Stegostoma tigrinum: one gene and its partners. The protein of the gene in region 2 purifies or fractionates together with the protein of the main gene of each other region. This does not show direct contact. Links are inferred from orthologs where the notes say so. Each region holds a gene or a part of one and is shown on either strand. Other genes may lie near its edges.

Evidence for each region. Proteins that work in one complex are often made in the same cells at the same time.
Region 1: the proteins of nop58 (region 2) and importin subunit alpha-5 purify together in Homo sapiens (affinity purification with mass spectrometry; 3 studies listed by BioGRID and IntAct, with this or other methods). This does not show direct contact. The link is inferred for Stegostoma tigrinum from reciprocal best matches to the Homo sapiens genes NOP58 and KPNA1.
Region 3: the proteins of nop58 (region 2) and nucleolar and coiled-body phosphoprotein 1-like fractionate together in Homo sapiens (co-fractionation; 3 studies listed by BioGRID, with this or other methods). This does not show direct contact. The link is inferred for Stegostoma tigrinum from reciprocal best matches to the Homo sapiens genes NOP58 and NOLC1.

What each region holds. Positions count from the first base shown.
Region 1 is NC_081365.1:36,732,485-36,740,380, forward strand, and holds the start of importin subunit alpha-5, read right to left. Parts: upstream 3,063-7,896; 5' UTR 2,948-3,062; intron 1-2,947. UniProt on the Homo sapiens protein: Functions in nuclear protein import as an adapter protein for nuclear receptor KPNB1. Binds specifically and directly to substrates containing either a simple or bipartite NLS motif.
Region 2 is NC_081360.1:7,344,800-7,351,754, reverse strand, and holds the start of nop58 (nucleolar protein 58), read right to left. Parts: upstream 3,096-6,955; 5' UTR 3,026-3,095; coding exon 2,981-3,025; intron 1,528-2,980; coding exon 1,451-1,527; intron 417-1,450; coding exon 364-416; intron 1-363. UniProt on the Homo sapiens protein: Required for the biogenesis of box C/D snoRNAs such as U3, U8 and U14 snoRNAs. Part of the small subunit (SSU) processome, first precursor of the small eukaryotic ribosomal subunit.
Region 3 is NC_081390.1:19,023,869-19,031,759, forward strand, and holds the start of nucleolar and coiled-body phosphoprotein 1-like, read right to left. Parts: upstream 3,063-7,891; 5' UTR 3,043-3,062; coding exon 2,935-3,042; intron 1-2,934. UniProt on the Homo sapiens protein: Nucleolar protein that acts as a regulator of RNA polymerase I by connecting RNA polymerase I with enzymes responsible for ribosomal processing and modification.

The DNA of each region.
Region 1 (7,896 bases), on a different chromosome or scaffold from region 2:
TGAGCCTCCGGTGAAGCGCTGGTGTTATGTCCTGCTTTCTATTTATCTGTTTAGGTTTCCTTGGGTTGGTGATGTCATTTCCTGTTCTTTTTCTCAGAAGATGGTAGATGGGCTCCAAATCAACGTGTTTGTTGATGGAGCTCTGGTTGGAATGCCATGCTCCTAAGAATTCTCGTGCGTGTCTCTGTTTGGCTTGTCCTAGGATGGACGTGTTGTCCTTCCTCATCTGTATGTATGTAAGGATACTAGTGATAGTGGATCATGTCTTTTTGTGGCTAGTTGATGTTCGTGTATCCTGGTGGCTAGCTTTCTGCCTGTTTGTCCAATGTAGACCACAAGCAAAACAAACGTCATCTACAAAATACCTTGCAAGAGCTGTGACAAACACTACATTGGACAAACAGGCAGAAAGCTAGCCACCAGGATACACGTCTTTTTGTGGTTAGTTGATGTTCGTGTATCCTGGTGGCTAGCTTTCTGCCTGTTTGTCCAATGTAGACCCAATGCAGACAACAAGCAAAACAAACGTAATTTACAAAATACCTTGCAAGAGCTGTGACAAACACTACATTGGACAAACAGGCAGAAAGCTAGCCACCAGGATACACAAACATCAACTAGCCACAAAAAGATATGATCCACTATGACTAATATCCTTACATACAGATGAGGAAGGACACCACTTTGATTGGGGCAACACGTCCATCCTAGGACAAGCCAAACAGAGACACGCACGAGAATTCCTAGAAGCATGGCATTCCAACCGGATCTCCATCAACAAACACACTGATTTGGAGCCCATCTACCATCCCCTGAGAAAAAGAACAGGAAATGACATCACCAACCCAAGGAAACCTAAACAGATAAATAGAAAGCAGGACATAACACCAGCGCTTCACCGGAGGCTCACTGATGATGTTACCTAGAATGGTGACAAAACATCTGAAAATGAACCTTCCAGCTCAGCGAGCAAACTCACATCCAGGTAAATTGCCCTTCGTAGCAAGAGGATTCAAGTATTGGAGCAGGGATGTCTTGCTGTAATTGTACAGGGCCGCACTGAGACCACACAGCATTATGTGCAGTTCTGGTCTCCTTATCAGAGGAAGGAGCTTCTGATCTTGCACTGCAACATGGGTTTACTGGACCAGTCCCTGGGACAGAAAGACCAACATGACGACAGACCGGATCTGTTAGGACTATATTCACCAGCATTTAGAACAAGATTTCAGAAGCTTACAAGATTCTAACAGGATTAGACAGCATAAATGCAAGGAGGATGCTTCCCAATGCCTGGGGAGTCTAGAACCAAGAGTTCAAAGATAGAGGTAGGTCATGTAGAACTGAAATGAGGAGAAATCTCTTCACCCAGAGACTGCTGAGCTTGTGCAATTCTGTCCAAGAAAGCAGGTGAGGTCAAAACATTGAATGTTTTCTGAAGGAATTAAATACAATCCTTAGGGCTACACAGGGACCAGAAGATAAAAGGAGAAAGCAGACTGAATTAGATGATCAGCCATGATCATACTGAATGATGGAACCGGTTCAAAAGGGCTGAATAGACAACTCCTTCTTCTATTTTCTGCGTTTATGTTCAATTGCCACGGGGTGCAGTGGAGGCCGGGACGTTAAATGCCTTCAAGGCAGAGATCAATAAATTCTTATCTCACAAGGAATCAAGGGCTACCAGGAGAGTGCAGGGAAATGGAGTTGAAATGCCCATCAGCCATGATTAAATGGCACAGTGGACTCAATGGGTCAAATAGTCTTACTTCCACTCCTGTGTTTTATGGTCTTAAATCAAATAATTATCCTCTCTTTTGCATATCACATAATTATCAGAGTTTTTGAGGAAGAAAAATTACCAATATTGATCTTGTCCTCTAATAAATTCACATTATTAATACTTTCTTGGGCACAGCATGTCAACAGCACCAGTCACTCCTCCAGGCAGTTTGTGTATCTTTAGAAATACAATAACTTAAAAATAAGCATGAAAATGATTAGTTACTACAAATCTACCAGGTAAAAGTACATCCTTACTAGAACAAGTAGTTTGTATTTTTATTAAAATTAGAACACTACTAGCTAATGGAAAACATAGTCTAATGTTCCTCCTGAAGCTTTCCTTTATAAAACATTTTGATTACAACAAAAGCTGTGCACCCACAATACAGAGCATTTGACTTACTGAGTTAAAGTTTGACACTGGATAAAAAAAAATTACATTCACTGAAATTCAGTTACTTATCCCTAACAAAGCAGGCAAACTGGAATCTTTTTGACCTCCAGGTTGCCATCCAAAATCCAACAGTAAATTAATTTAAAGTAGATTCAGGCACAGGAGCTATTTAACAAGCTACTTTAATCCTTTTAAATGGAATCTAATAATTATGTATTGTGATCAGTTTTTTTTGAAAAGGTATAGCACAACACACACCTGGATTATCATTCATCCAACATCTTCAGAATTGCAATATCAGGCCCAAATATGACAATCACAGGCGAACTTCAATACAATTCACAAACTGTACTTTAGACACTATATTACATAACAGAATTAGGGAACGTTATTGTCAGTGCTTTAAATTAAAACTCGGAACAGAAAGCATGTGGAAACGCATTTAAGTCCTATTTGCGGATTCAGAGAAACGAATGTCAAAAAACAAAAATCACTGAAACAAATCCGTCAAGATAAAAACCGAATGAAACCTCCGATAACAAAATATCCCGGAAGATTTGTTCAGAGCCACCCTTGCCTGCTATTTAATCAGTTTAAATTGATGACAACCCCGTGGCTCCCACCCACTTTAGGCCCACGCCGGAATTTTAACACCTCAAATCAGTCAGTAGAACAGCAGTGTTTTCTTTGACAAAGCTCAACTTCCACTGCTTACATCCAATTTCTCAACAATGTTTTAAGCAGTACAAAGCAACTTTAACTTACTAGCTAGCTCTTCTGTATTTACTGCACAGAGCCGCACTCTTTCACTTCCACCTCCTGGTGCTTTCAGAAGCCGACAGCCAACCGGCCGCGCAAGCGTAAATTCAAGACACTTCCCTATCGCGCACGCGCACTTTCGCAACAGCATGCACACGCGTCACCACCCCCCCAAGTGTTGATGACGCCCTCATCCTAGCTGCGCACGCGTACTGCGCATGCTCGCTCTGGTCTTGTTAGGTCACGGGCTCCCGTGAGGATGCAATCCACTTTCTCCACTGCGCACGCTCGATACTTCGGAACGTCCACAGAACCGATGTCTGCTTCAACGATAACAAAGTGTAGAGCTTCCCCCCATATCTGAAGAAGGGTCTCGGTCCGAAACGTCAGCCTTCCTGCTCCTCTGATGCTGCTTGGCCTGCTGTGTCCATCCAGCTCTAAACCTCGTTATCTCAGATTCCAGCATCTGCAGTTCCTATTATCTCTGGAACATCTGCTTCACGCGGGTTCCGGCAGCGTTGCGGTTAATGCCATTTGTTGCGAATGTCTCAAAAACGCAAGGAATGAATGGACTGGGGACTGAACACCCCCAAATGTTGGAGATATTGCGCTGCGGGGCTCGCTGCTTTTAGGGGACGGGGGTGAGGAGTCTGACAGAAGAGATGCCAGCTGAATCTGTCAAATGTTGCGACCCGTCTGTAATTGCCACTTCTTATCATGGTTTTCTGATGATTTCCAGCATTTTTATGTGCTTCTTTCAGATTTCCAAATTTAACAATTTCCCTTCTATTATGGGGCTGGAAGCGGTGGAATGGAACTTGCAAGTCTGGAATAGACATTTTCCACTCTTGAAGATAAAACGAAGAATTGCAGATGCTGGATATCAGAAACAAAAACAGGAACTGCTGGTGGAACACACCAATTCTGGAAACATTTGTGGGGAGAAAGCAGAGTTAATGCTTCGAGTCCGGTGACTCTTCATCAGAACTGATAGCAGCTAAGAAAATGTGGTATTTATTGCTGACGATCAGATTTGGGGGACGCAGGGCAGAGTTGAGCGGACAGGTGGAGATGGAGCCCAGAGAGAGAGATATGAGAGGGGTGAACAGTTAGGAGACTATTATTAGTGAGCCAGGACAGAATAGAAGCTGAGTAAGTGGTAATGAGAGGTCAGACAGCATCCAAAGAGCATGGAAGTCAAAGTTTTGGGCCAAAAGCCTTTGTCAGGACCAAAACATTGACTTCCCTGCTCTTTGGATGCTATCTGACCTGCTGTACTTTTCCAGCTGCACGTTTATTGACTCTAGCTTCCAGCATCTGCAGTCCTTACTGTCTGTAAGTGGTAATGAGAGCTGAGAGTAGGAGAGTAGCAGTGTTGAAATCAAACTAATTAATGTGATAATAGGTATGGGAATGAGTTTCCAGTGCTAGAAGCAACCACAACAAGGTTCTGCATGGTAGACTGGTTGGCAAGATTAGATCACATGGAATCCATAGGGAGCTAGCCAACCTGGATACAAAACTGGCTCCTAGGTGGGAGACAGTGGATGAAGATTGTTTTTTGCACTGGAGGCCAGTGACCAGTGGTGTGCCACAAGGATCAGTGCTGGGTCCACTGCTTTTCGTTGCTTATATAAATGATTTGGATGTGAATTTAAGAGGTATGGTTAGTAAGATCTCAGATGACACCAAAATTGGCAGTGTAGCAGACAGCAAAGAAGGTTACCTCAGAGCGCAGTGGCTCTTTGATCAGATTGTTAATGGGCCAAGGAGTGGCAAATGAGTTTAATTAAATAAACGTGAGGTATTGTATTTTCATATGGCAAACCAAGGCAAGAACTTATACTGTCCTGGGAAGTATGGTGCATAGTTTCCTGAAAGTGGAGTTCCAAGTACACAGCGTGGTGAAGGCAGCTTTACTCCATTGAGTACAGGAGTTGAAATGTCATGTTGCAGCTGTACAGGACATTGGTTAGACCACTTTTAGAATACTGTGTTCAATTCTGATCTCCCTACTATGGGAAAGATGTTGTTAAATTTGAAAGGGTTCAGAAAAGATTTACAAGGATGTTGCTGAAATTGGAGAGTTTGGGCAAAGGAAGAGGTTGAATTGGCTGGGGCTATTTTCCCTGGAGCATCAGCGGCTGAATGCTGACCTTATAGAGGTCTATAAAATTGAAGAGCATAGATAGGCTGAATAGACAAAGTCTTTTTCCCAGTGTAGGGGAGTCTAAAACTATGGAGCATGGGCTTAAGGTGAAAGGGGAAAGATTTAAAAAGGGTCCTGAGGGGCAACATTTTCATGCAGAGGGTGGTCTGTGTGTGGAACAAAATGCCAGAGGAAGTGGGGGAAGATTGGTACAATTTCAACATTTAAAAGACATCTGGATGGTTACATGAGTAGGACGGGTTTAAAGTAATATGGACCAAATGCTGGCAATGGGACTGGATCAGTTTAGGATAGCTGGTCGGCATGGATGAATTGGACCAAAGGGTTTGTTTCCCTGCCGTATAACATTATTACTCTATGTCAAGACAGAACTGTGCATGGGGGTGGATTTTTAAAAAATGGAAATATTGAATTAGGCTTTAAAGTTCTGGAAATTGATGTTGAGTCTGAGATGTTACAGGGTCCACAAGCAGAAAATGAGATGTTGTTCTTCAAGCTTGTGCTGAGGCTCCCTGGAACTCTGCAGCAGACCTACTACAGAAATATTGGTGTTGAAACATGGTGGTGGCAAGCAACTGGAAGCTGAGTGTCATTTTTATAAATAGAGTCTACGTGTTCTGCAAAACAGTCATGTGGTCTGTATTTCATGTCCCCAGTGTAGAGCAGACGACATTGTGAACAGTGAATATGGTAGACTAGATTTGAATGAAATGCGGGTAAATTGCTGTTTTAGCTGGAAGGTGTGTCGGGGTATCCGAAAGCAAGGAGGGAGGAGGTATAGGAGCAGGTGTTAGAGCTTCAGTAATTGCATGGGAAGGTGCCATAGGGGTTTCGGAAATGGAGGGAGGAGTGGACCAGGGGTGGGGTGGTAAGTGAGGACCTTGGGACACTATCGTTATGAGGGAAGAGCATGGATGACGGCAGAAGTGTGAGGGATGGGTTAAATAGGGGTAAGGACCCCCATCAACCACAGTAGCAGGAAATCCTCAATTGAGGAAAAAGGTGGACATTTGAAATCCCCTGCGGAAGGTAGCATCATCAGAACAGATTCGATGTAGGCAGATAAATTGAAAAAAGGGGATGGAGTCCTTATGGAAAGCAGGGTGTGAGGGTGTATAGTCAAGATAACTGTGGGAAACCAAGCGGAGGCTTGGGGACCGCTTTGCAGAACACCTCCGCTCAGTTCGCAACAAACAACTGCACCTCCCAGTCGCAAACCATTTCCACTCCCCCTCCCATTCTCTAGATGACATGTCCATCATGGGCCTCCTGCAGTGCCACAACGATGCCACCTGAAGGTTGCAGGAACAGCAACTCATATTCCGCCTGGGAACCCTGCAGCCCAATGGTATCAATGTGGACTTCACCAGCTTCAAAATCTCCCCTTCCCCTACTGCATCCCTAAACCAGCCCAGTTCGTCCCCTCCCCCCACTGCACCACACAACCAGCCCAGCTCTTCCCCCCCACCCACTACATCCCAAAACCAGTCCAACCTGTCTCTGCCTCCCTAACCGGTTCTTCCTCTCGCCCATCCCTTCCTCCCACCCCAAGCCGCACCCCCAGCTACCTACTAACCTCATCCCACCTCCTTGACCTGTCCGTCTTCCCTGGACTGACCTATCCCCTCCTTACCTCCCCACCTACACTCTCTCCACCTATCTTTACTCTCCATCTTCGGTCCACCTCCCCCTCTCTCCCTATTTATTCCAGTTCATTCTCCCCATCCCCCTCTCTGATGTTCGGTCTAGGCCCGAAACGTCAGCTTTTGTGCTCCTGAGATGCTGCTTGGCCTGCTATGTTCATCCAGCCTCACATTTTATTATCTTGGATTCTCCAGCATCTGCAGTTCCCATTATCTCTGATAACTGTGGGAGTCAGTGGGTTTCTAATGCATATCGATGGCTGGACTATCCCCAGAAATGTGGTCCTCAGCAAAGGACATAGTTTTATCCCCTTGCGCCTCACCGCAATGAATTTTATGCAGAGTGATAATGGGAACTGCAGATGCAGATGCTGGAGAATCCAAGATAATAAAATGTGAGGCTGGGTGAACACAGCAGGCCCAGCAGCATCTCAGGAGCACAAAAGCTGACGTTTCGGGCCTAGACCCGAAGATGCTGCTGGGCCTGCTGTGTTCATCCAGCCTCACGTTTTATAATTTTATGCAGACACGACATTGAACTCTTCCACTGCCAATTATATAAAAGGTAAGGGATACAGGACATTGGACCATTGGAAAATGAGGTTGGAAAAGTAATAATGGGGAACAAAGAAATGGCAGAGAAACTAATGACAGATAGCATACCAGAACTTGAAGAGAATCAGGGCAGAGGTGAGTGTAGTGACCATCAATAAGGAGATAATGTTGGGGAAACTGGATCAATCACCTAGATTGGATGGACTACACCCCAAAGTTCTGAAGGACATAGCTGAGGAGATTGTGGAAGCACTGGTGGTGATCTTTCAAGAATCGTTTGAGTCAGGGAAGGTACCAGAAGACTGGAAAATGGCTAATGTAACAAGAGAGGGAGGCAGAAGACAGGAAGCTTTAGGCTGGTTAGCCTGACCTCGGTCATTGTTAAGATTTTAGAGTCCATTATTAAAGTTGACATTGCAGAGTACTTGAAAGTGCGTGGTAAAAATGGCTAAGTCAGTACAGGTCTGTCAAGCCTGAATGAGTTTTTTTTTAAAATTATTCATTCATGGGATGAGGGCATTGCTAGTTAGGCCAAATTTATTTCCTAATTGCCCATAAGATTCAACCACATTGCTATACCTCTGGAA
Region 2 (6,955 bases):
CCTTGTCAAAAGTAACCAGAAAACAGGCAATTACATCACCTGCTGAACCAGCATTAATGTCCCAAGAGTAAATTCCAAAATGTCCTAATGAGACTTAATGAATAAAGTGAAATCTTGTCATCTTATCTGAGAGATTGCTTGAGATATACCAAAGGCCTGATATGTGGCCAGTTCTTTTCTAATTCTGCTCAGTTTTCACTATTAGACCGATTCTCTTCAAATGTTAGGAGGAAGAGCACACTGGTATTTTGCAGGCCTGAATGCTAACTGACATTGCATTAATTTCCAATGTGGGCTATTTAATTCAAGCAGGCTTGACTGTCTGTTTTCAGTGTTAACAACTGTGGATTGAGACTTCCTTACCTGCGAGAGCTTCTGTGGTATCTTGAAATTTTTCAAAATGTTTTAACTTCACACTGCAGACAGGAAAGAGATGAAAATACAAAACACTTACTTGTTTATTTCCTCTTGCCCTCCTCCAGTCAATATACCAAATTATGCTCCATTTAATTTCTCTAGTACCTTCCCCAAATGGCCATTCTTTGCAGGGCATAGGCCAATGCAATGAATTACATCCCTGTTCCCAACAGTATTCAAATATGGCATTACAGCCAATTCCGAGCACACTGTGTGTCTGTCTGCCTCTCTCACACACACAAGAAATGTGAATCAGCAAATATTCTGACTAACTTCCCTTGAGTTCAGATGGCAAAACGTATGACCAGCAACACGAGAAAAATCTAAAATAAAACGAAGAACTGCACACGCAGTAATAAACAGCAATTCATGAAGGAACTCAGCACATGTGTCAGCATGTGGAGACAAAACAAGCTCAACGTTTTAAGTTCTGGGACCCTTCTTCAAGAGGACTCAAAATGGTTAACTGTTTCCTCTCTACAGATACTGCCAGACCCGAGTATCTCCAGCTATTTCAATTTGTTCTACCAGGAACTCTGACGTGCACAGTCTCAGTCAAAGCAGTAGATTTACTATGCTCGCCTGAGCACATCATGTTTTGAAAAAGAAACAGAAGGTCTGTCTTCGAACCTCCCTCTGCTTTACCGTAATCTTTACTCACACTGCACCTAAAGGATGTTCAGGCATAGATAGAATGAAATCATAAAACCATCATTTAACATTCCACTTACGAACATGGAAACATTTTGAGCAGACAACTTAGACAGCCTTGTCTGCCAAACTCCTTTCCCACACGTTTATTCATACTGAATAGCTAGCTCAATCATGACTAATATCATGCACTTTTAAGAGGGTGGTTATTACACAATCCAGCACTGGCAGTCTCAGATGAGTGACTGAAAAACCCCTCAGTACTTAAATCGGGAAGACAGTGTCATCATCATCATTGCTTCAGTGCTGCACCAAATATCAGCACTCAAATAAATATTACACGTTGCCTTTGAAGGAATAAACATAAATCAAAGTAACTTACAATTTATTTGCTTTTTCAGCTGTTTCAAACTCCCGCCATAAGTTGTCCACTTCACGGAGCTTATTCTCATCCAGGACCTATGGATGTGGGGGGAGGAGCCCAAAGAAGATCAGATCACAACAAACTTGCCCAAATCTGCTTCTGCAGCCAAGGGTCAGAAAAACACAACCAGTACCAAATCCAACAGAAAATGAGTGCCAGCTCTGCATGTCCAAAGACATGGTTAAATTCTAACAGCCTTGTTTATTATGAAAGTGAATTGCTACTAATACCCAGGATTAGAGACAAGGAATAGCCATTAGACCTGTGTAGAGACTACTGAAACACAGAACTGGGAGTGGTACTAAACACCCCAAACCGATGCATACAAATAACAAGACAAAGCATCAACACTTCTCCTATGGTGTACTGATGTTGTTACTTAGCAGGGTGATGAAACGTCTGCGACCAAACCCACTGGCTTGGTGAACATGTCTACAACCTCATCCATAACCCGAGCTGGAAATCTTATCAAAAAACTTTAAACAGCTGTTAATATGATGTGAGGAGGGCAGTACATGGTAAAATAGCATTTTGGTAAAGCAATCAGACCACATTAAAAATTAATTTTTGGTTTAAAGTTTAGAAGTATGGGTTTAAGATGAGTGCTTTAAGCCCAAATAAAAATAAGTAAGCAAACAAAAGTGAATGGCAAACCAGACCAAAAAAGACACACACAGTCTCCTCTACTCCGAAGAAAACCAATCCCAGTATCAAACGAAAAACTGCAAATGCTGAAGATCTGAAACAAAACCAGAAACTGCTGGGAAAATTCAGGTCTGGAAGAAAAAAAAGTTAATCTTTCAAATCCATCAATTCTGAAAAAGGGTCACTGTACTCAAAACATTAGCTCTCTCTGCCAGACCTGCTTAGTTTCCGTTTTTGACCCAGCGTGTCCAACCCCTCTCCATCGCTAGTCTTCTCTGGTTCAGTTAACATCCTGGTAAGGCTCTTCTACATCCTCTCTAGTGCAATCATATTCTTCCGAAAGGACGCATAATATTCTAGTTGTGGACAAATCAACGTTGAACACCGCTGCAGTATAACCTGACTTAGTCGTGTGTTCAAAGCCTCGGCTGAAAGTCAAAATATCCACTACGCCTTCTGACCTATCTTGTATCTACGTGCCCTGAAGAATCTATGAACAAGCATGACCAAGGCGGGCGAGGAACGCGGGAAAGGAGGCGGCGGCAGCAGGCGGCGAAGAAGCGGCCAGTGGGGTGGGAGGAGAGAGAGAAAGAGAGAGAGACCACGAGCGAGAAAAGTAGGATGTGGGGAGAAGGTTAGGCAGAAAGGGGTGTCTGGCTGAGTGGTGGGGAAAAAAAAGTTCATCACTGAGGAGAGAAAAAGGAAAGGAAGGCCAGGGAGGAAAACGAAAGGCCCGAAGGGAAAGAAACACAAGGAGAGCGAAAAAGGGGAATGTGAGGAAAGAAAAATGGCCAAGCACAAAGACAACAGACGATTCGGGAGAAACAGAACTCAGTCAAATACCTTAAAGATAGCATATCCAGCAGCGGTCTCAAATAGCAACAACATGGCGAACAGCTGCGTACTGACCACGAGGACAACAAATGGGACCGCGCATGCGTACCAGCGGCGGAAGGAGAGGCAGACACAGAATATCGAACCACCCGAAATCAACGAACACGTAACACACACACTTCGTTCTGAGCGGCGTTGCCCTGTCCACACACAACTTCCGCGGTGGGCGGAGCCAGTTGGGCGCATGAGTAACTCCACGTGCTGGTGGAGACTATAAAGCCCATGCGAGCTGTCTGGGGCAATTTATTAAGTTCAGGCGCTCTGCTCTGTGGTGTGTTTAATGAACTGTTCAGAACTTGATACATACAGCAGTTGTAAATTCGAAATATGTTTTCGAACACAGAGGTGGAAACCCACTGTGATACTATCAACTCAAACTGACCCAGTAGCAGAGCACCCACCCCGCGTCACTACCTGGAGACAGAGTGAGAAGATAACCACTTTCAAGATTCATATTTTCTGATGAAGGGTCTAGGCCTGAAGCGTCAGCTTTTCTGTTCCTAAGATGCTGCTTGGCCTGCTGTTTATCCAGTTCTATACCTTGTTATATCACAAGATTCATATTTGCCAAGTTACCAAGTTCATCAGAGCCAATACACAGCCTGGCCAAGTTTACCTGCATAGGCAGTACCTGGTCCTAGTCTTGTTACCAGTAATAGTTTAGGTAAGGGTGGTGACAAAGACTTAATGTGGCAATTAGTAGAATAATTAATCTAAGAATTAGGAGTTTAATTGTGAAAGAGCAATTTTATAGACAATATTCACCCATGTAGTGCCTTTTGTGTTTTGAGCGTATTTTGTGAATAAAATTGTGTTGAATTGAAAGTTGATTTTGATCCTTTTGTTCATCTCACAAGTAAAGTACCTGAGGTTTGTTGAAGTGTCCAAAGCACAGACAAGAGGAATAATGTGAAGATAAGGTGTTAAGGTAGATTATTAGCCATAGGCAGAACAGGCACCAAGGGTTGACCTATGCTCATCCTGATGAGTGCGAAGCAGAAGGCTTCAACTGCTTTCTTTCTTTTCAGCAATTCTCAAGTTCTGCATGAACAAGCAACTATATTTATTTATGCATAGCACAGGGGAATACTGACAGTGCAAGGTTTCATTGTCCATCCGTAATTGCTCTTGAGAAAGTGTGGATGAGCTATCTTCTTGAGCCATTACAGTATGTGGTGAACACAGTCCTATAGTTTTCCTATGTAGCAGGTTCCAGGATTTTGACACTTCAACAATGTGATACATGTCCCAAACAGGTTGTTGTGGGAGGAGCTTTGTACTGTGGAAGAAAGTGAGAGGTTGGATAGAACATAGAACATAACAGCGCAGTACAGACCCTTCAGCTCTCGATGTTGCACCGACCTGTGAAACCAATCTGAAGCCCAACTAACCTACACCTATTCCATTATCATCCATATGTTTATCCAATGACCATTTCAATGCCCTTGAAGTTGGTGAGTCTACTACTGTTGCAGGCAGGGCATTCTATGCCCTTACTACTCTAAGTAAAGAACCTACCTCTGACTTCTGTCCTATATCTATCACCCCTCAATTTAAAGCTATGTCCCCTCGTGCTAGCTGTCATCATCCAAGGAAAAAAGGCTCTCACTGACGACCCTATCTATAGAGGCAAATATTTTCCACAGGCTATTCAGAACAAGATGAAACAGCTTTATATCAAAAACCAAGGAAGTAAGAGTGTAAATTATGCAGGTGCTGACCATATTCTTGAATCCTTAAGATGTAGGGATGTTGCCAGAGGACGAGAGAACTGCAAATCTTACACCTATGTTCCAAAACATTTGTCAGGATAAAGTCAACAAAGTCTCTATAACTTCAATCATGGGAAACTTCACGTATCACCGACCCAGTAGGAAGTATTCAAATTCAGCCTGTCCACTACAAGCCTGCCATGCATTTCTTTTTTCCCTCTCTTCTTTTCATTCATAGAATCCCAGAATCCCTACAGTGTGGAAACAGGCCTTTTGGCCCAACAAGTCCACACTAACACAAAGAGCACCCCACCCAGACCTATCCCTCTAATCCACACACCCCTGAACACAATGTGCAGTTTAGCATAGCCAATCCACTTAACCTGAATATCTTTAGACTGGGAGGAAACCGGAGCACCTGTAGGAAACCCACGCAGACATAGGGAGAACGTGCAAATTCCACACAGACAGTCACTCGAGGTTGGAATCGAACCCAGGTCCCTGGTGCCGTGAGGCAGCAGTGCTAACCACTGAGCCACCATGACACCCTGTTCTTTATATTCCAGCATCCCAGGGAGGCCGGAGCAATGACTCCTGGCTCATAGGCTTGATATGTGGTTTCCTGGAATAGCAGCTTTAGTGAAGACAGAATGGAGACTCCTGGGCTCCATTGGCCAGATGTGTGGACTCCTGGAATGATGGCAGAGCAGGGATCCTGGCTGCAGTGAGTCTGGAGAGTGGGCTCTTTTGGTGGCGTTGGATCATCGACTGAGGCTGTATCATTGCCTCGAGTGGGGGCTCCTGGCTGCAATAGGCCCAGAGCAGGAACCTTGCAGAAGTCTAGGAGCCATGTTTGGGACCCAGCCGATGAAGATGAACTCTATTTAAGTACTTTTTTTATTCTCTTCCACCTTAAAATGGCACCGAATTGTGGTGACAGAACACTTCTCGCTCTATCTCCCTTGATATATGTTACAATAAATCATTCATTCATTCAACTTTTAGCAAAGACAATTGAGGACAATGTTTACAATGATAAATATGGATGAATAAAGGAAATTCACTGCAAACTTTTAAGGGCAAATTGTGTTTAACTAAATTGCTTGACTGTTTTGATGAGCTAACACAAACAACTGATGAGAGAAATGCCTTTGATATGGTATATGTGCATTTTCAAATGGCATTTGATAAAGTGCCATATAAGAGGCTTGTTAATAAAGTTAGAACCCATGGAATGAAAGGAGCAGGGCAGTACAGATATGAAATTAACTTAATGACAGTAAATACAATAGTTTTGAATTGTTTCTGGACTGCAGGGATGTGTATATAGTATATGTATGTATATATGAGCTCCCTAGGAGTGTTCATATTGCTGCCTTCTTCATTATGTATTAATGATGTAGGCATTGATGTACAGGGCACAATTTCAAAATGTGAACTGTGAAGGAGATCCTAATAAACTCTACGGGAACATTGACAGCTGGTGCGGACAATTGCAGACATAAAAAAGAAGAGAAGTGTGATTCATTAAGTCACTGAAGGAAGCAAGATGGATCGAGAAAGCACTTAATAATGTATAGGGATGTTATACTTTGTAAGTAGAGGTACAAAGTATAACAGCAAGGAAGTAATGATAGAGAACAATCACCGGTTCAGCATTAACTTACAAGAGAGAAACAGTACTCCTGACTAAAGGTTTTCATTAAGACCTGGTGGGAAATGTAGAAAAATCAGTGTGGGCTTGAAAGACCTTGAAGACTTGTCACATCTGGCAATTAATGATTCCACTGATGTTCTGGAGGAGCAGTACTGGTTTGAGGTTTGGCAAAGAAACAAACACTGTAGAACTCTGAGAAAAGTTACAAATCCCTTCTGGGCAAAGGAAAATCTTGAAATTAATTATTCAAAAATACGTGCTAGCGAGTTTTGAGAAGATTTGTAGCTCAGGTTGAGGTTCTGGATGTGAGTTTGCTCGCTGAGCTGGAAGGTTCGTTTTCAGACGTTATGTTACCATTCTAGGTAACATCATCAGTGAACCTCCGACGAAGTGCTGGTGTTATGTCCTGCTTTCTATTTACCTTTCTATTAAAATATGTGCTGATAAGGCTATAAGTAAAATACGCTTACAATAGTCATGGAAAAGGATAGGTACATACAGCAGGATAAGGTTTATAATTGGCGGAAGGGTAATTACAATTCTGTTAGGCAAGAA
Region 3 (7,891 bases), on a different chromosome or scaffold from region 2:
TAAAAAAAAAAAAATCGAGAGAAGTTGGAAGGCAGGCTTCAGAATCTTGAATTAATTCACGCGATGTGGAACAATTTGCAGATCAATCCACAGATGCCTTGAATTCAGAAGTGATTTATGAGAATGCTCTCTTGACTGGAGGATTTCAATATAGGGGAAAGAGTGGATAGGGTAGGGTCATTTTCTTTGAAACAGAACAGTCCATGAAGGGGGTTTATAAAATTATGAGGGTTCCAGGTAGAAAGGCTTTGAGTTAACGGGAGGAGGCAGGGTTCTAAACCCTGGGCACAGACTTAGGACAAAAGGTAGGTTTAAGAGAGGAGTTGATGGGAAATTGTTTCACTCGAAAGGTAGTGGGGATCTAGAGACAGAAACTGTCATAATATTTATGGAGTACTTGGATATGCGCCTGAAGTGCTGTAATCTAAAAGACTACAGACCAAGAGGAAAATGCTACATGGAGCTGGACAGTTCCTCATCGGCTGGCAAACAGAGCTTGCAAAATGGCCCAATAATTAGGTTGTGAGTTAATCTCAGCTCAACATATTTACTTCCAGCCCTTAACCATTATTGCTCACGATGGATTCAATTCCTTGACCAAGACTGGAAGGAGCTACTTCACCTGTCCCTGTAACTGCGTTAACAATTATCCTTAAAAGTATAGGGTCTAGGCCCGAAACGTCAGCTTTTGTGCTCCTGAGATGCTGCTTGGCCTGCTGTGTTCATCCAGCCTCACATTTTATTATCTTAACAATTATCCTGCTAGTCAGTTCAGAGTTTATGGGGAGGAGATCAAGAAAAGAAAAGCAAATCTCTAAGTAACAAATTGATCTGAAACAATCTATTTCCGTTAAGTCCAATCACAGGGCATTCATAAGGTGTAAGTCATAGCAGCAATGTGTTCACCAGTGTCTTTTTTAAAAGAAGTTTTTACACATTTGCCTGTCTGTCAGCTTTCCCTGCTTAGTATGGCACCTCTGTACTTAGAACACATTCCTTCTGAGCCTTCCACCCTCAGTGCAGAGACAGGTAGATTATTACGTAGAACTGTGACAACATACCAAGAAGCCATTCAGCCCTTCGACAATAATCTAATCAGTACCATTCTCAGACCCTCCCCTGTTCCATTCTCACTGGTCCTACACCATTCCTGTTCCACCCCATATCCGTCCCTGGTCCCATGTGCACTCCTCCATGGCTTTGTGCCCATCAGCCCCTTTCAGAGAATCCCGATAGTATGGAAGCAGGCCATTCAGCCCATCGAGCTCACACCGGCTCTCTGACAAGCATCCCATTCAGACCCACCCCCCAACCCTATCCCTGTAACCATGCATTTCCCATGGCTAATCCACCTAGCCTGCACATTCCGGAGCATTATGGGCAATTTAGCATGGCCAATCCACCTAATCTGCACATTTTTGGATTGTGGGAGGAAACCAAGTCAGACAGAAATTCCAAGATGGCGGCAGAGTATGACACTCCAGCCGGACCTCAACTGCACTTCTTTTTCTTTTCTTCACTTTTCCTCCCTCCTTTTGGTGTTTTTTCCCTCTTCTTCTCCTCCTCCTCCTCCTCTCTTGGCCTCCAACGACTCCTGGCCAGGCGGAGCGGCCTCCCAGTGTGGCAGTCTGAAGCGAACTCCCATGCTCACAATCCTGAAGGTGAAGTCTGAAGTCTGGAGCCTGGGCCTGGTGCGGACTGGGCACTAGGTGCCACTGTGGTCTGGGTTGGAAGACCATTGTTCTGAACTTTAATTTCTGCAACACTGGGCATTTTATTTCCATGCCTTCTAAGATCTTGTAACTATGTACCCCTGTGCCGAAGATGGCGCCGCAAGCAGCAATGGATAAAAACTTTTCACTACCCTCATTGTGTACTTAGGACAATAAAGTTAATTCATTCACATGCAGACCCTACACAGTCAGTCACCTGAAGGTAGATTCAAACCAGAGTCCCTGGCACTGGGAGACAGAAGTACTAACCGCTGTGCCACCCATTCTCTCATTCCACCCATTTCTTGCCCCACAATCCCATTTTCCTTCTACTCTGCTGACTTCCATACCTTTCACCATACCCTGGCTCTTGTCACCACATCCCATTTGCCCCTTCCTCCCAAATGGCCCTGTTTGCCCACTTTGCCTCCAACTCATCTTGCTGCCCCTCTGACCCTTATACTCCTACTTGACCCCATGCCCCAAACCCAGCCTTCCGGTCCCAGATAACAAAGCGTGGAGCTGGATGAACACAGCAGGCCAAGCAGCATCTCAGGAGCACAAAAGCTGACATTTCAGGCCCAGACCTTTCATCAGATAGGTCCCAGTTTTGTCCCCCAACCTGTTCTGCTCCATTTCCCCCACTCAGTTCCAACTCCCCTCAAGCACCAATCGGATATAAGTTAGGAAATCTGTGTGTGTCACCGCGATGACCCTCCTTCAGCAGGCAGCATGTTACAGACCGGTGCGGGGTAGTCCTTCCTCACGTTCAACACCCACCCCTTGCCCCCGCCCGTCCCAAACCCCAAAACACCTCGAATCCCACCTACCACAGAGACGAGGGTCATAACATGTCTGAGCAGGTCGATTTAAAAAGAGAGACAAAAACATGCACAACCATCCGTGGCAGGAGAAACTATGGGCCACGTGTGCCGGGTCCATGCGGTTTGAAAGCAACGCTGTAAGATGCTGCATGTATCTCCCCTGAGGTACATTCAGGGACACTTGGGGGCCGGAATGGAACGTTGCCCAGGTGCTCCCGGGGAACGTTCCATTCCGGCCCCGCGTGCTCCCGGGCAACGTTCCTCTCCCTCCGCGCATGCCCGGCCTTCTCCGGAGTGCCGTTATCGAAGCCCGTGAGCAAGGCCACAGAAGTGCGGCCACCACGTCGAAAGAGAACTAACGAACAGTCGATCTTAGCAGAGCAGAGGTGGCAACATACCACGTTTGACTGCTTCAGGAACTGCTTGGCAGCCTTGTCGAACTTATTCTGCAGCAGGAAACCGTAAATCTGCGGGTACAGGTCGCTGGGCACCACACGCGCGTCCATGTTGCGCACAATAACACGTCCTCCCCTCCCCCCGCCCCCCCGGTCTCAGTACCAATCGCCTACACCTCACTGATGCCCACTGCGGCTGCGCGGAGTCTGTGCAACACGTGACCCAGAGCCGGCCGGCGTTTTCTGCGCACGCGCGGATCCGTCCCAGGTGCTGACGGCGTTTTAAAGTCATTTAGACTCGAAACGTTAACTCTGCTTTCTGTGCAAGATGTTCTGAGTTTCTCCAGCAGTTTCTGATTTTTGCATTGTAGGGCGTTCTGAAGAAGGGTTAGTGGACTTGCAACGTCAACTGTGTTTTCTCTCTGCACAGATGTTGCTACTTTTCCTGAGCAGCAATTTCTTTCTGTCTTGCAGGAGTTCTGAAGGAGGGTCACTGGACTCAATTTGTTAGAACATAGAACACTGCAGCATTGTACAGGCCCTACGGCCCACGATGTAGTGCCAACCTACTATCCTACTAAGATCAAACTACCCTGCATACCTTACATTTTATTATCCTCCATGTGCCTATTCCAAGAGTCACTTTAAAGTCCCTAAAGTATCTGACTCCACTACCACTGTGGGCAGAGCATCCAACATACTTTCTGACCACAGATGCTGCCAGACCAGATGTGTTTCTGTTTTTGTTTCATATCTTCAGCATTCACATTTCTTGTGTTTTGTTTTATTCGCATTGTAAGGCTTTTATGTTCACGGTGTAATCTGCATTGCATCACACGTACGGATCATTTTGACTCCACCTGCGTGTGCTAGTGCAGACAGACTTCACTTGAACCACTTTCCACTCTGCTGAAGCTCTCATCATACATTTCCCCACACTTTACCTCTAGATTCAACAATACCAATGCAGTCCTGACCTGTCCACCAATAAAGGGGATGTTGATGGCTTAGAGATACAGGCTACTAGACTAGGTGGGATCGAGGTTCACAAGGAAGAGTTATTAGAAATCCTACAGAGGGTGAAGATAGATAAGTCCCTTGGGCCGGATGGGATTTATCCTCGGATCCTCTGGGAAGCCAGGGAGGAGATTGCCGAGCCGTTGGCATTGATCTTTAACTCGTCATTGTCTACAGGAATAGTGCCAGACGACTGGAGGATAGCAAATGTGATTCCCCTGTTCAAGAAGGGGAGTAGAGACGACCCTGGTAATTATAGACCAGTGAGCCTTACCTCAGTTGTTGGTAAAGTGTTGGAAAAGGTTATAAGGGATAGAATTTATAATCATCTAGAAAAGAATAAATTGATTAGGGATAGTCAGCACGGTTTTGTGAAGGGAAGGTCATGCCTCACAAACCTTATTGAGTTCTTTGAGAAGGTGACCAAACAGGTAGATGAGAGTAAACCGGTTGATGACCTATCCCCTCCCTACCTCCCCACCTATACTCTCTCCACCGATCTTCTTTACTCTCCATCTTCGGTCCGCCTCCCCCTCTCTCCCTATTTATTCCAGCTCCTTCTCCCCATCCCCCTCTCTGATGAAGGGTCTAGGCGCGAAACGTCAGCTTTTGTGCTCCTGAGATGCTGCTTGGCCTGCTGTGTTCATCCAGCCTCACATTTTATTACTAAGGTCGGTGGAGTTGTGGAGAGTGACGAAGGATGCTGTAGGTTGCAGAGAGACATAGATAAGCTGCAGAGCTGGGCTGAGAGGTGGCAAATGGAGTTTAATGCAGACAAGTGTGAGGTGATGCACTTTGGTAGGAGTAACTGGAAGACAAAGTACAGGGCTAATGGTAAGATTCTTAGCAGTGTAGATGAGCAGAGAGATCTCTGTGTCCATGTACACAGATCCTTGAAAGTTGCCACCCAGATTGACAGGGCTGTTAAGAAGGCATACAGTGTTTTAGCTTTTATTAATAGAGGGATCGAATTCCGGAACCAAGAGGTTATGGTGAAGCTGTACAAAACGCTGGTGCAGCCCCACTTGGAGTATTGTGTACAGTTCTGGTCACCGCATTATAAGAAGGATGTGGAAGCTTTGGAAAGGGTGCAGAGGAGATTTACTAGGATGTTGCCTGGTATGGAGGGAAGGTCTTACGAGGAAAGGCTGAGGGACTTGAGGCTGTTTTCATTAGGGAGAAGAAGGTTGAGAGGTGACTTAATTGAAACATATAAAATAATCAGAGGTTTAGATAGGTGGATAGGGAGAGCCTTTTTCCTAGGATGGTGACGGCGAGCATGAGGGGGCATAGCTTTAAATTGAGGGGTGAATGATATAGGACAGATGTCAGAGGTAGTTTCTTTACTCAGAGAGTAGTAAGGGAATGGAACGCTTTGCCTGCAATGGTAGTAGATTCGCCAACTTTAGGTACATTTAAGTCGTCATTGGACAAGCATATGGACGTACATGGAATAGTGTAGGTTAGATGGGCTTGAGATCGGTACGACAGGTCGGCACAACATAGAGGGCCGAAGGGCCTGTACTGTGCTGTAATTAGATTAGATTAGATTAGATTCCCTACAGCGTGGAAACAGGCCCTTCAGCCCAACAAGTACACACCACCATTTGAAGCATCCCATCCAGGCCCATCCCCCCATAACCCTGAACACTATGGGCAATTTAGCATGGCCAATCCACCTAGCCTGCACATCTTTGGACTGTGGGAGGAAACCGGAGCACCCGGAGGAAACCCACACAGACAGGGGGAGAATGTGCAAACTCCACACAGACAGTCGCCTGAGGCGGGAATCGAACCCGGGTCCTTGGCGCTGTGAGGCTGCAGTGCTAACCACTGCACCACCGTGCCACCCCTAATGTTCTATGTTCTATGATGTTGTCACTGGACTACCAATCCAGAAACCCAGGAAATGTTATCAGCAGCAGCAGCGCGAGCAGGAGCTTGGAGCAGGAGCCTGTCGGGAAGCTGATGAGTCACTGTTTTTGAATCGTTAAAAAGCTTACCTCGTGAATAGGTGGAGGGACGCTGAGCAGGAGCCAACATGGGACTGGTGAGTAAGTGAGGTAATATATTTGTGTGGTTGCGTTACCTGAAACACTACTCGGGTAGTGTCTTCCACCCATCCTCCTCCTCTAACCGAAAAAAAGGTTCTGTGTGCTTGATTGGTAAGGTAACAAGTTTATTTTTTATTCTTTTTTTAAGTCTTTGGGAATTTAGAATAATGGGAACGGAGGTCAAGGCAGTTGAATGTTCCTCCTGCAGAATGTGGGAGGTAAGGATCACCACTAGTGTCCCTGCTGACTACCTCTGCAGGAAGTGCACCCAACTCCAGCTCCTTGAAAACCGCGTTAAGGAACTGGAGCTGGAGCTGGATGAACTTCAGATCATTCGGGAGGCAGAGGGGGTTATTGAGAGGAGTTACAGGGAGGTAGTCACTCCTCAAGTACAGGAAAAAGGCAGATGGGTTACGGTCAGGGGACGGAATGGGAACCAGCAGGCAGTGCAGGGATTCCCTGTGGCCGTTCCCCTCAACAATAAGTATACTGTTTTGGATACTGTTGGGGGGGATGACTTACCGGGGAAAGCAGTGGGGCACAGGTCTCTGGCACAGAGTCTGTCCCTGCTGCTCAGAAGGGAAGGGGGAAGAGGAGCAGAGCATTAGTCATTGGGGACTCCATAGTTAGGGGGACAGATAGGAGGTTCTGTGGGGACGAGAGAGACTCACGGTTGTTGTGTTGCCTCCCAGGTGCCAGGGTCCGTGATGTCTCTGATCGTGTTTTTGGGATCCTTAAGGGGGAGGGGGAGCAGCCCCAAGTCGTGGTTCACATTGGCACCAACGACATAGGTAGGAAGAGAGACGGGGATTTAAGGCAGAAATTCAGGGAGCTAGGATGGAAGCTGAGAGCTAGGACGAACAGAGTTGTTGTCTCTGGTTTGTTGCCCGTGCCACGTGATAGTGAGGCGAGGAATAGGGAGAGAGAGGAGTTGAACACGTGGCTACAGGGATGGTGCAGGAGGGAGGGTTTTGGATTCTTGGATAATTGGGGCTCTTTCTGGGGTAGGTAGGACCTCTACAAGCAAGATGGTCTTCACCTGAACCAGAGGGGTACCGATATCCTGGGGGCGGAATTTGCTAAGGCTGTTCGGGTGGGTTTAAACTAATTCAGCAGGGAGATGGGCACCAAAATTGTAGTTCGACTATAGAAAAGGTTGAGAGTAGGGTGGTCCGAAATAAAGTTTCAGGGAAGCAAGATGGCACCGGCAAGCAAGAAGTTGGATTGAAGTGTGTCTACTTCAATGCCAGGAGCGTCCGGAATAAGGTGGGTGAACTTGCAGCATGGGTTAGTACCTGGGACTTCGATTTCGGAGACATGGATAGAGCAGGGACAGGAATGGTTGTTGCAGGTTCCGGGATTTAGATGTTTCAGTAAGAACAGAGAAGATGGTAAAAGGGGCGGAGGTGTGGCATTGTTGGTCAAGGACAGTATTACAGTTGCAGAAAGGATGTTTGGGGGCTCGTCAACTGAGGTAGTATGGGCTGAGGTTAGAAACAGGAAAGGAGAGGTCACCCTGTTGGGAGTTTTCTCTAGGCCTCCGAATAGTTCCAGAGATGTAGAGGAAAGGAGAGCAAAGATGATTCTCGATAGGAGTGAGAGAGACAGGGTAGTTGTCATGGGGGACTTCAACTTTCCAGACATTGACTGGGAACACTATAGTTCGAGTACTATAGATGGGTCAGTTTTTGTCCAGAGTGTGCAGGAGGGCTTCCTGACACAGTATGTAAATAGGCCAACAAGGGGCGAAACCACATTAGATTTGGTACTGGGTAATGAGCCCAGCCAGGTGTTAGATTTGGAAGTAGGTGAGCACTTTGGTGATAGCGATCACAATTCTGTTTTGTTTACTTTAGTGATGGAAAGGGATAGGTGTATACCACTGGGCA